Daphnia pulex: one gene and its partners. The protein of the gene in region 1 purifies or fractionates together with the protein of each later gene. This does not show direct contact. Links are inferred from orthologs where the notes say so. Each region holds a gene or a part of one and is shown in the gene's direction. Other genes may lie near its edges. The genes, in order: ribonuclease P protein subunit p30-like, ribonucleases P/MRP protein subunit POP1-like and ribonuclease P protein subunit p40-like.

What was found.
Region 2: the proteins of ribonuclease P protein subunit p30-like (region 1) and ribonucleases P/MRP protein subunit POP1-like purify together in Homo sapiens (affinity purification with mass spectrometry; 5 studies listed by BioGRID and IntAct, counting the BioPlex papers as one, with this or other methods). This does not show direct contact. The link is inferred for Daphnia pulex from reciprocal best matches to the Homo sapiens genes RPP30 and POP1.
Region 3: the proteins of ribonuclease P protein subunit p30-like (region 1) and ribonuclease P protein subunit p40-like purify together in Homo sapiens (affinity purification with mass spectrometry; 3 studies listed by BioGRID and IntAct, counting the BioPlex papers as one, with this or other methods). This does not show direct contact. The link is inferred for Daphnia pulex from reciprocal best matches to the Homo sapiens genes RPP30 and RPP40.

What each region holds. Positions count from the first base shown.
Region 1 is NC_060018.1:996,249-999,097, reverse strand, and holds ribonuclease P protein subunit p30-like, read left to right. Parts: upstream 1-1,378; coding exon 1,379-1,411; intron 1,412-1,477; coding exon 1,478-1,546; intron 1,547-1,605; coding exon 1,606-1,815; intron 1,816-1,915; coding exon 1,916-1,983; intron 1,984-2,045; coding exon 2,046-2,125; intron 2,126-2,193; coding exon 2,194-2,345; downstream 2,346-2,849. Other genes in the region: dynein regulatory complex subunit 4-like, read left to right, coding at 11-198, 259-370, 439-693. UniProt on the Homo sapiens protein: Component of ribonuclease P, a ribonucleoprotein complex that generates mature tRNA molecules by cleaving their 5'-ends. Also a component of the MRP ribonuclease complex, which cleaves pre-rRNA sequences.
Region 2 is NC_060026.1:2,974,632-2,978,871, reverse strand, and holds ribonucleases P/MRP protein subunit POP1-like, read left to right. Parts: upstream 1-1,406; 5' UTR 1,407-1,448; intron 1,449-1,520; 5' UTR 1,521-1,545; coding exon 1,546-1,654; intron 1,655-1,723; coding exon 1,724-1,842; intron 1,843-1,904; coding exon 1,905-2,044; intron 2,045-2,100; coding exon 2,101-2,203; intron 2,204-2,262; coding exon 2,263-3,007; intron 3,008-3,067; coding exon 3,068-3,972; 3' UTR 3,973-3,995; downstream 3,996-4,240. Other genes in the region: histone H3, read left to right, coding at 1-239; dnaJ homolog subfamily C member 9-like, read right to left, coding at 4,123-4,240. UniProt on the Homo sapiens protein: Component of ribonuclease P, a ribonucleoprotein complex that generates mature tRNA molecules by cleaving their 5'-ends. Also a component of the MRP ribonuclease complex, which cleaves pre-rRNA sequences.
Region 3 is NC_060026.1:1,155,423-1,158,780, forward strand, and holds ribonuclease P protein subunit p40-like, read left to right. Parts: upstream 1-1,231; 5' UTR 1,232-1,332; coding exon 1,333-1,455; intron 1,456-1,516; coding exon 1,517-1,823; intron 1,824-1,884; coding exon 1,885-2,010; intron 2,011-2,075; coding exon 2,076-2,259; intron 2,260-2,320; coding exon 2,321-2,535; exon of another isoform or gene 2,536-2,592; coding exon 2,593-2,678; 3' UTR 2,679-2,747; downstream 2,748-3,358. UniProt on the Homo sapiens protein: Component of ribonuclease P, a ribonucleoprotein complex that generates mature tRNA molecules by cleaving their 5'-ends. Also a component of the MRP ribonuclease complex, which cleaves pre-rRNA sequences.

The sequences.
Region 1 (2,849 bases):
TACCTTTTAGGCGGCAAAGGGTCACGCTAAAACAATGTCTAAGCAGCTTGAAGAAGCAGTATGGCAACGTGAAGTAGCTGAGCAGCGTTTAGCGCGAACTAAAACTGAACGAGATGAGTTGGAAGAAAACTTTATGGCTGCCATACTGGAGGTGCAACAGAAAGCTAATTTGAAGCAACTCGTTCTAGAGAAAAAATTGTAAAATAATTCATTAGATATGAGAAAACAGATAACAGCTTCTAATTTGTTGGATTTCAGAGAATCTTTACAAGAAACTCTCAAGTGTAAGGACAATGCTTTGAAGCAATTTACCTCGCACGGTCCGGGTTCAAACGGTGATGGGGGTACAAATGCGTCTGGCGAGACTGTAGTAATTTCCACACTTTCACTCACACTTTTAATCAGCAAATTGTTAATTCACATTTTCTATCTGTACAGTCATCGTCTTTGAGAGAAGGGAGGAAACAGACAGTGGTTAAAATGAATTTTGAGGCACCACACCACGAGGAGCTTCCAGATAAATCATTTCAATCTTCCAATGAAAGTTTAGCAGCTGTTGAAGAAAGAATCAGCATCAAATCTGGTTCTGTCAAATCAGTTGTAGGTTCAACAAAGTCTACATCAGCAGTTCTGGACATCAATGGTGCTGGTGTTGGAACCAGCACTCAACGAAAACTAAAAACAGCCAACTGAACAAAAACAGAACAATCTACTTCAATTTAATTACTTCACATTTTAATTGTTATATTGTTTCTTAGTGTTCTAACTGTTTAAAAACACCGAAATCAAGCGTGATTTTCCTTTAACAAGTGTCTGTCAAGTTGGTAAACAAATAAATTTGCGTCGCTAGAGGGACAGAAATTCGTCTGCTTGATTCACATGCTTGCTTCGTTTGTGATTTGTGATTTTGTTTCAAAGCACGTGACTGAATTATCAAAAGATTTTCGAATATATAAAACAATGAACACTGTGCAAGGTTTCTGTGATTTCAATATCCCATGTCCATGCAGTCCTACTACAACACTTAAAGAAGTCGTGTTGAGAGCTGTCAAACGTAAATGAATTAGTTAAAATCCTGCCCTATTTCGTCGTTTTCACCTGTTCTGTTTTCTTTCAGTTGGTTATAGTGCCATAGCTATTAACACAACAATAGAAGAAGATGTTTTAATCAACACCAAGAAAAAAGGGAACAAGAAAAATGAAGTAAAGGAAGAGAAAAAAGATGTTCCACCTCCTCTAAAACTTAAATTCACCGAAGAAGAGTTGAACTTATTTAAAGTATTGTAAAATGAAACTATGGATTTGATTTTATATTCAAATTTACCTCTTACTTTAGGTCCATGGGAAGAATGTTAAAATCTTACATCGGTTGACTGTCATGCTCAGTGACCCTGTGAATACACAGAAACTTGTGAGTACTCCATATAAATGCACTTTATTTGGGAATTACTGATAAGCATTTTGTGTTTCTCAAAAGATCCAATCGGGGAATACCAAAAAATCTGATTTGATAGCTGTCTGCCCAACAACTACGGCTGCTTTTCTAGTATTTTATTTTTATCTTTATGATTGAAATCAATTTTATTTAATTATTTTTTTTAATAGCATGCAGCAGCCAACATGGATATAGACATAATCACCTACCATCCGACTGAAACCAAAGAATTGCTGAGATTCACCAGAAAACATTATCGCCAAGCTACTGACAGAGGAATATTTTTTGAGATTCCCTATTCACATATGCTTAGAGATTCGTCAAATAGGAAAAAGATTATCCAGATTTCACATTTGTACCATACAGTTGGCAAATCCCGGGTGAGATTTATCTATTTCAAATTCAGAATGACCAAATTTTACTATTTGTGTTTTGGAGCCTTAGTTGTTTATTACTATATATATTCAACTCTTCCTGTAGAACGTCATAATCAGTAGTGGAGCTCTTACACCATTAGAACTTCGCAATCCTTACGACGTAGCGAATTTGTAAGGAACACATTGTTGATACTGCTTATTAACGAGACTAAATAAGTCATTGCATATTTTAGAGGATTACTTCTTGGATTAAGTGAAGGAGAAGCTAGATCTGCTTTAAATTTGAGTGGACGATCCGTTGCACTTCATGCTGGTATATATTCCCTATAAATTTCTGCATTTAACTTTACACTTTTACATTTTTCATTCGGGAATTTCCAGTGACTCGAAAAACAGGAAAATGTGTCAGCTTTATTGCTGAAACTGACAAGTTGGATCCAGAGGAACAATGGAAAGCTAAGGAAATAACTGACGCGGAAGAAAGACTTGCGGGAGAACCAGAGCCCAAAAAGATGAAAATGGAAACTGCTTAGTTTAATAGTCAAAAAACGAAATTCGACAACATCTTGCACTTACTTGTATTCCATTTTGATCAATAGATTATGGCTGAACTACATAAGAACAGAAAATTTGAAGTTACAGCTGCTTTTGCGGAGGGCTTTACATGTTGCAATTATAGATCGATGTATCGCACGTCATAGACATTCACACTTTCATGCAAACAAAATGTTGCCCTAGGTATAGAGAGCCTAAAAGCTACCTACACAACATTAAATCTTAATAATCTTCTCGTTTTTGAAAGATCTTTAATTTCATATTAGCACTTCAGGTATTATATTGAATGACAATCAAAATTAAGGATATGTCAAGTTCTCTGTCACAAAATCTAAAACGGTGCTGCTTAGAAAGTACTCAATCAAATGAATGAATAAATTTTGTGTGTATAAAATAACTCAACTTTGTCCCTTTTGTCATACGAGGAGACGTGAACAGTTGGACGTAAAAAGTTTTCAGATTCTTGGAAGATCTAGAAGTTC
Region 2 (4,240 bases), on another chromosome or scaffold:
CGACCGAGCTTCTGATCCGCAAGTTGCCATTCCAGCGCTTGGTCAGAGAAATCGCCCAGGATTTCAAGACCGACTTGCGTTTCCAGAGCTCGGCCGTCATGGCTCTGCAGGAGGCCAGCGAGGCTTACTTGGTGGGTCTTTTCGAAGACACCAACTTGTGCGCCATTCACGCCAAGCGAGTCACCATCATGCCTAAAGACATCCAGCTCGCTCGCCGTATTCGTGGTGAACGTGCCTAAGCGACTTTTAAAATCCCTTTTGACTTACCAATCGGCCCTTTTCAGGGCCACCATTTACTAAAGAAGAAGATTACCAATCAACCATTGTTTTCATTACTATATTCTTGTAAATCTTTCTTACCGTCACACATTGATGTGAATGGCCTAAAATAAAGAATACTCTACTCATCACTAACCACGGTTTCTTTCTAAATGCCAGAATTTCACAAGCATAACCTTTTCGATGGTTTCAATGTGCAATGGAAAACTTCTAAATTTTGGTAAACAAGGAAAGATATTGAATCATGCCCTATTTTAGAACTGCACCCAAATAAGTAAAGCCCAAACCATGTAAACAGATTAGACTACAAATTAGTATCATGGGAAACTGAAAACTTTGAACCAACCTGGTTTGCAAACAAAATCAGGCAGTCGGTTTATCCTTGCGGTCCTCAGCACTTATCTTTCAATCCTAACACTTCATTTAAATTCACAACCACATTCCAAATCCCTAATTATTTGTTTTAATAATCAATAATCCTCCCCCCCCCAAAAAAAAAAATGAGAAACAAGAACATAGACAACAATCAAAATCTATATATGCAGACGACCTAGTAAACAAAACAAGCCACCTGTTGGCCAACAGTTGGAAAATCTTCTTTCTAGACGGTGCGACCAGCGACCTCCCAAAACTTAATATGTAGAAGCGGAACGGAATTCTCTTCCCGCTTTAACACAAATGGAAAACAAATTATGTAAGAGAGATTTAACCTTTACAACAAATTGTTTCATTTAGTACTTGATCTGAGAGTAAATGATTCAGTTCTGATTTCTCTGAGGTCAGCGGTCTGAAAAGACTCTACTTCTCAATGGATTCCGAACTCCCGTCTTCGGACGGCACATTTATTGATTCAAAAATTTCCATTACTCTTTATTGAAGCCCCGGAAGGTGATTTACTGTGTTATGTGTGATGTGAATGTGATAACTACTAAAAAAGTGAATATGAAAATGAAAACGCCGCTCTAACCCATATCGTGATCACTTCAAATAAAACAACAGAGTAAGTCAGTAGTTCTGTGGTTCTGGTAAATTGGTAATAATAGCATTTGAAAAATAGAAAAAAATTGAAGATTGAATCTGCGTAGAATTGTAATGGAAAGTTTGGCAACGAGATTACGAGATTGACCGATTACCACAGCAGACGAAAACGACAACAAGTTAGTTGACACGTGAGTTAGAGCATGTGATGTTGATGTTCAAAATTTCAAACTTTATTTGAATTAATCACCGTTGCTTACTAGAAAAGTAAAAATCACCTTTTGTAAGATGACTGACGAAAGAAACAAAATGACGCAAAATGTTCCTTCTGATTTATCAGTCGTTCGATTTTCTTCTGTTAGAGCCCAGGAAATTGTTGCTCTCACAAAAATGATAGGTGAGTTTCCCCCCTCCCCAAAAAAAGAGTTGTCCTATCAACATTTGCTAACATGTTGTTTGCCTTAAGAAAATCCACAATGCACCAAATTACTTTTTCAAAAACTGCCATGTCATATGCGAAGAAGAGCAATGAGCCATAACCCAAACAGAATGCCAAGAACCTTAAGGGAAGCCCACAAGGCCCAAGTAAGTCTGCTTATAAAAGTATAGCTCCACACTGAATAAACTCTATATTTATGTGGATTTAGATGGCAAAGAGTGGTCCAGCAACCCAGCCTAAGAGGCCTAGAAGGAAATATAGACGCAGACCAAGCAGATTGCTGGAAGAGTATAAAAAGCGATCTAGTAAAGTCTCTTGGCTAGAAACACACCTGTGGCATGCCAAAAGGTTTGTTTCCATTTGTAGGTTATGTTAAGGACATGTTACTACTTTTTACCATTTAGGTTTCACATGGTAATCAAGTGGGGACATCGTCTTCCTGAAAGATCTTGCGCTCGCAGTCACAGATTCTGCTACCGTTCAGTAGCTCAACATTGCCTGCTAATGGTATCAATTCAAAATATTAATGATTTACGTAATTATTAATTGCCTCTTTTTGTTCAAAGGACATATCGTACTTGTGTTGCGTTGAAATTCAAGGTCCACAGGATGAGATCGTTCGAGGCCTTATCTCTCTCTGTGATCCTAAAACTGGCCCAACGTTTGGTGCGTCTACTTTCCTTAATGGCACTCGTGAAGGAAGAGTGATCATTTTCAAGCGAAATCAGTTTTCGAGCGGCCCCATCGGCTTGGTTACGTTTTTGTGGTGCAATACAGGGAATCCGGATATGCGAACCTTGTGGATATGGAGCCATCCAGCTTTCTACCAACAGTTTCTGTGTGAGCTGAATTCTATTTTCGAATCCGATTCCGACTTATTATGCAAGCCTCCTGGAGTCAAGATTACCTTAAACAAAGGAAAGCTAAATCGGTTCAGATTAAGAGGGCCCTTTGCACATTCAGTTGTATCGTCGTTATTCGACAAAGAAACTAGGAGCGCGTCAAGTTTATCACAATCACCTGGGTTTGTCACCAGTGTTGAAGTCAGAGATCCTCGAATGATACTCGCACAAACCCGAATCAAAGCGTCCAGTTCCACGGTAGGTAACTGTGAACTTGTAGGATTGAGCCAAAGTAAATTGTGGGATGCCAGCGTTCGAGATCAAATTACCAATATGCGAACAAGTTTACCCGATCACGTCATCAATAACCGTCGTAGTGAATTACTTGTTCCTGGCACCGAGTTACCCGTCCAGCCAGAAGAAATCCCCATTCCAATCCTCATTGTGAATGCATCTCACGAGAGCAGCGGTAAGTAAATACATTTCTTTTATTATGTAATTTTTTTTTACCTTTTTTTTTCCTTTCAAGATTTTGTTCCTGGCTGTGACGTCATTTTGCCGGCTGGATGGGCTACAGCTTTCTGGCTTGCACTGATCTATAGTGGAGGGCACGCTGGAGGTTTGAAAGATGCGGGAAGCATGAATTTTGAATACGGAATTTGTCGGGATCTCTGCTTAGAAATCGACAGTGAAGCAGGAAAAGCCACTGCCGTTGACAGAAAAATGAATTTGATGGAAGAATACTTTCGTAGACCACCTAAAACAAGAACCAACTTCATCAAATTAGCCACACCTTTTCCGTTCTGCGTCGATTGGGATCGCCTTACAATCGACTGGATCGGTCAGTCTGAGTCAGGTTTCACTGTATTACGTGACAAGAAGCTCCTAAGTGGATTGTGTCAAAAGAATAGGATTGTGCTACCCGAAATCTTATTATCTCAACCTTATTTAGTGCCCGTGACAGTTCGAGTTAAACACGGGTCACCTCAGGAATTTTCAATGATCTGTTTACCGGGAGCCGATGATAAAGTTAATTCAGTAATTAACGAGCCTATTCACCAAGATCCCTGCGCCAAAGAACGGAAAATGTTACGCCAACAGCACAGTTCCCTTCTGAAGAGTCTTGCGAAAAAGAGGAAAGAATTCCGGGATAAAGATGGAACCATTGGGGACTTCTCCAGCGCCACTGCAATTGCTGTTCACAAAGAAAAGACTCGCTCGTTATGGCTGCCTTCTTCCTGCAATTTAAAAACTTCATTCGCCAGGCCGATCATTGGATTTGTCACTCAAGGAGATTTCGGTCTTAGCGAAGGAAAAGGAATTGGTCGTGGATATATAGTCATTCGTGCCATTTCACAAATACCTTTGTCTCTTGTGTTGGTTCGAAATCCTGGAACTAATTTGTACATGTGGGCTGAAATTACAATGGAGTAAAATACATTGACAAACTAATTGAAGTTATCACAAGTTATTTTATGTGTAATGTAGAACATCAATTCTTGGTTACAATAGTACATTACCCATAGCGAGATTGTATTGGTAATGGTATAATGGATGAAAGTGAAAGCAGAACATCAAATTATTTTATTTCTTTCCAACCATTCCTTTCTTCCCACGTTTAGGCATGACTTCCTCACTATCCGAATCGTCTTCATCGTTGCTTTCTTTCTTTTGCTTTCTCGTTTTAGTGGTACGTTCTTTA
Region 3 (3,358 bases), on another chromosome or scaffold:
AAATCAATCCATTTCTTTCCATGAAATAAAGACGTTCTTGTGCCAACACAATCGATATTTGGAATTCCTGTGAAACCTCCAATGCTGTGAGTTTATCCCTAGCCTGTAACTAAAAAAATTTGAATATGTTAGGATTGCATTAAAGAAAAAGTAATGAATTTCAATAGAAGTATCAATTTGGCTGTGGGTTTAATAACTGTTATATTCATGTGCAACAGCCAGGACCTAGATCAGAAACAGCAATTGAGTTGAAAGTGTCGACCTCAGAATAATGAGAATATGAAATCATTAAAAATACATATCAACACGATACTGGCTATTCAATCAGGAGATCAGCCCATTAATGAGCTCTTAAAATTGATCGCAGGGCGCAGAAAAGAAGAAGGACACCCTTTGACAACACACTTGTGATAAAACCAACTTTGAAATTTTAGGGGATGCCCTGTACAAAACATTTAATTAATATGACTTCCACTACTTCAATAGTGGAAAACTTACATTCTACGGATTACCTGAATGATGTAGTATTTTTCCATATTTTTCTTTGGTCGAAGTTGTAATCCAGGTAAGAGAAAAAGCACTTTGAAAAAATACTCCCATAAGAGCCCATGTAAAAAAAGGGTGTGGTTTTATTAAGATGGCGGATTGCAACATTGTCGGACTACAAGAATCCTGCTATCCGCACGGTGCAAGAGGTCTATCAATTCTGAATATTCTGATTTCTGAATTATTAAAAGTCTGGGTAAGTAATTATTGAGTAATCTCTATGGAAAATAAGATTAATGGGTTAAATACTTATAAAAAGGAAGAGATTTTTGTGGGAGCTCGGAGGGTGTTTAAAGGAAAAGCAAGCTTAGCGGGTACAGTATTTTCTTTTTGTAGACCTTTTCCAGATGATTCTGATTAATGCAATTATCGTAATGCAGCAAATTGATCACTAAATTGAATGCTTACATAGTGGTCGTTATTCATTATGCTACAAATATTCGGTTAATCTATTGTATCGTACAAAATCTTCCAGAGTTCCAGACTTCATTAGAAAATCATTAGAAAATTATGAATTTTCCACGTAACTTCTTCTTTGGCCCTCTTTATTCATTGCCTAGGTATTTTATATCATTATTATAATATAGTCGACTTAGATAGTTTAAATAAACCGCGTAATGATAGTGACGCCATCTATAAGCTTTGAGATAAACTATCGATAACTAAAAACGTTTTCGCTAGATGGAGTAGGAACTGACTAAAATAGTAAACAAAACAATTACAAACCACACCGGATCGAAAACTTCTTCTTTTTTCGTTGGAATTAACTTTCAAATACTTCCTGAAATGTACAATCCAGAGGTAATAAATTTTCCTCCACCAAAATCCTTGAAACAAACATGCACATGGAAGAAAGACCAAATACTTAATAAAGTGCCTTCCCAAGACCTAGGAAATCATTTTCATGGGGTAAGAGTGAAACTTCAATAACTTTTTACATTATTCTAATAGAGGAGTATTCTTGTTACAGATTACTGCAATCTTGTCTGGGGAAATTACTGAAATAGCTGAAATTCAAGACTTCTTTTTAGACTCAACATTTTACAGAGTTAACAAATTCCCCGTTCATAAGTTGCTGGACCCTGATTTTCTCTCTGCATTTGTTAAAAAAGGACATTTTGATGCCAGAACTTTAGGAACATGGGGTGAAGTTGATCAGAGTATTGTTGTTGAATCAGGCAAACTTCATCTTTCTGTCTGCAAAGATGTGTATCAAGAGCTAGGGTTAAGTGGCCAAGCAGAGGTAATTTCATCCAAAAAGTGTCCTGCTAAATACGGTAACTTAATTATTCACTGTAAATTTTTTCAGTTTGTTAACATTGTATTTGGTTTTCGTAGACATTTCTGTTAATCTTCTTGATGATAAGTTTTCCCCTGATTCTAAATACTACAAAAGAGTTAGTTGGTGTTTACAAAATCAGACAAGTCTACAATTTGATTGGATCATGAATTGGCATCCACACGGTAAGGCTTTTCTTAATAGTGGAAATTGTATCAAGCGTTGACTAATAATAATGTTTTTACCACAGATTCTGACATCTGCCCATCTTCCCTTGCTGCTTACCTCGACTTGCTTGGCTTTCAGGTAGTTCAGTGTCTGCCATCCTTTGAAGAAAGAATTTTAAATCAAGTAAAGGTTCCACTGCTATGCACTGAAACAGACATTTCAGATGTTGTTGAATGGGTTGGAGCTGCTGCATTGAATATCACATGGTAACTAGATATGCTTTTAGAGTAAACTGAGATATTACATTCTTTGTTTTATTTATCTAAGTCCTGACCAAGAAGATTACACTTCTTCAATGACATGCCCAGAGCCCAGTTATAAATCTGAAAAGGTTCACATCTTGAAATGGAAAGGATTTTTTTCTGCAAGACAGGCAAAAGAGTTACTCGGCGTGATTTTGAAATTGCGACCAGAAGCAACAGAAAACTCTGTTCAATCATGGCTTAATCTCACTCTCATTGGATTTGATGAATTCCAAATAGGTGTGTTTTATTGGCAATCATGTTAATTTCACATATTAATTTATTTTTAATTTTCAGCATCAAGTATTTGCTCGGTTTTTACAACGGCATCGGACAACTGCCAAGTCTTTACAAACCAGACATCTAGAAGGAAAATCAAATGAATTCAATTCGACTTTTGTTATTTCATCTTCTGTAAAAACACATCTGAATAAATTAAGTCAGATACTGGATCGATTAAAACAAAAAATTAATCTTTTATATCTGTACCTCATAGTTGCTTACACATGCAACTGCACTCCGGTATCACTCGAGTTTTGCCATTACAAAAAGGAGGGAAAGAAATGTAATAGCCATGTCCTCAAACAGCCTAAAATTCTGTGTCGCAAAACAATTTTTTCATAGCATTACTTAATGATTAGAACTTAAAATTGCGTATTGTTTATGTTTAAGGACTGAATACGTTTTTAAAAGAAATCAAGCTTTACACAGCTGCAAAAAACGCGGAAACTAGTTATTTCTACCGCAAATTTTTACAAAGAACGTTTTCACTGAACGACGACTGTGTATACTAATAATGACATACCTTTGACAAAAAGAGGGCCATGAGTCAACAGCTCAGTAGGAAATTCAATCAACAGCTGTCGGTGCACTGCTGCGAAATACCTTGAAATAAAACCACAAAAGAAAAATATTTACCACATGATTATTCGTAACAGAAGTTTCGAATCCTCTCAGACCGCACCAGTCTCGTATGGAGTTTGTTCCTTTCAAGGAGATACACCAGCTGCAACTGTGTAAAACGCAACCAAGTCAATATGTTTACGAAAAATTGAATGATTTA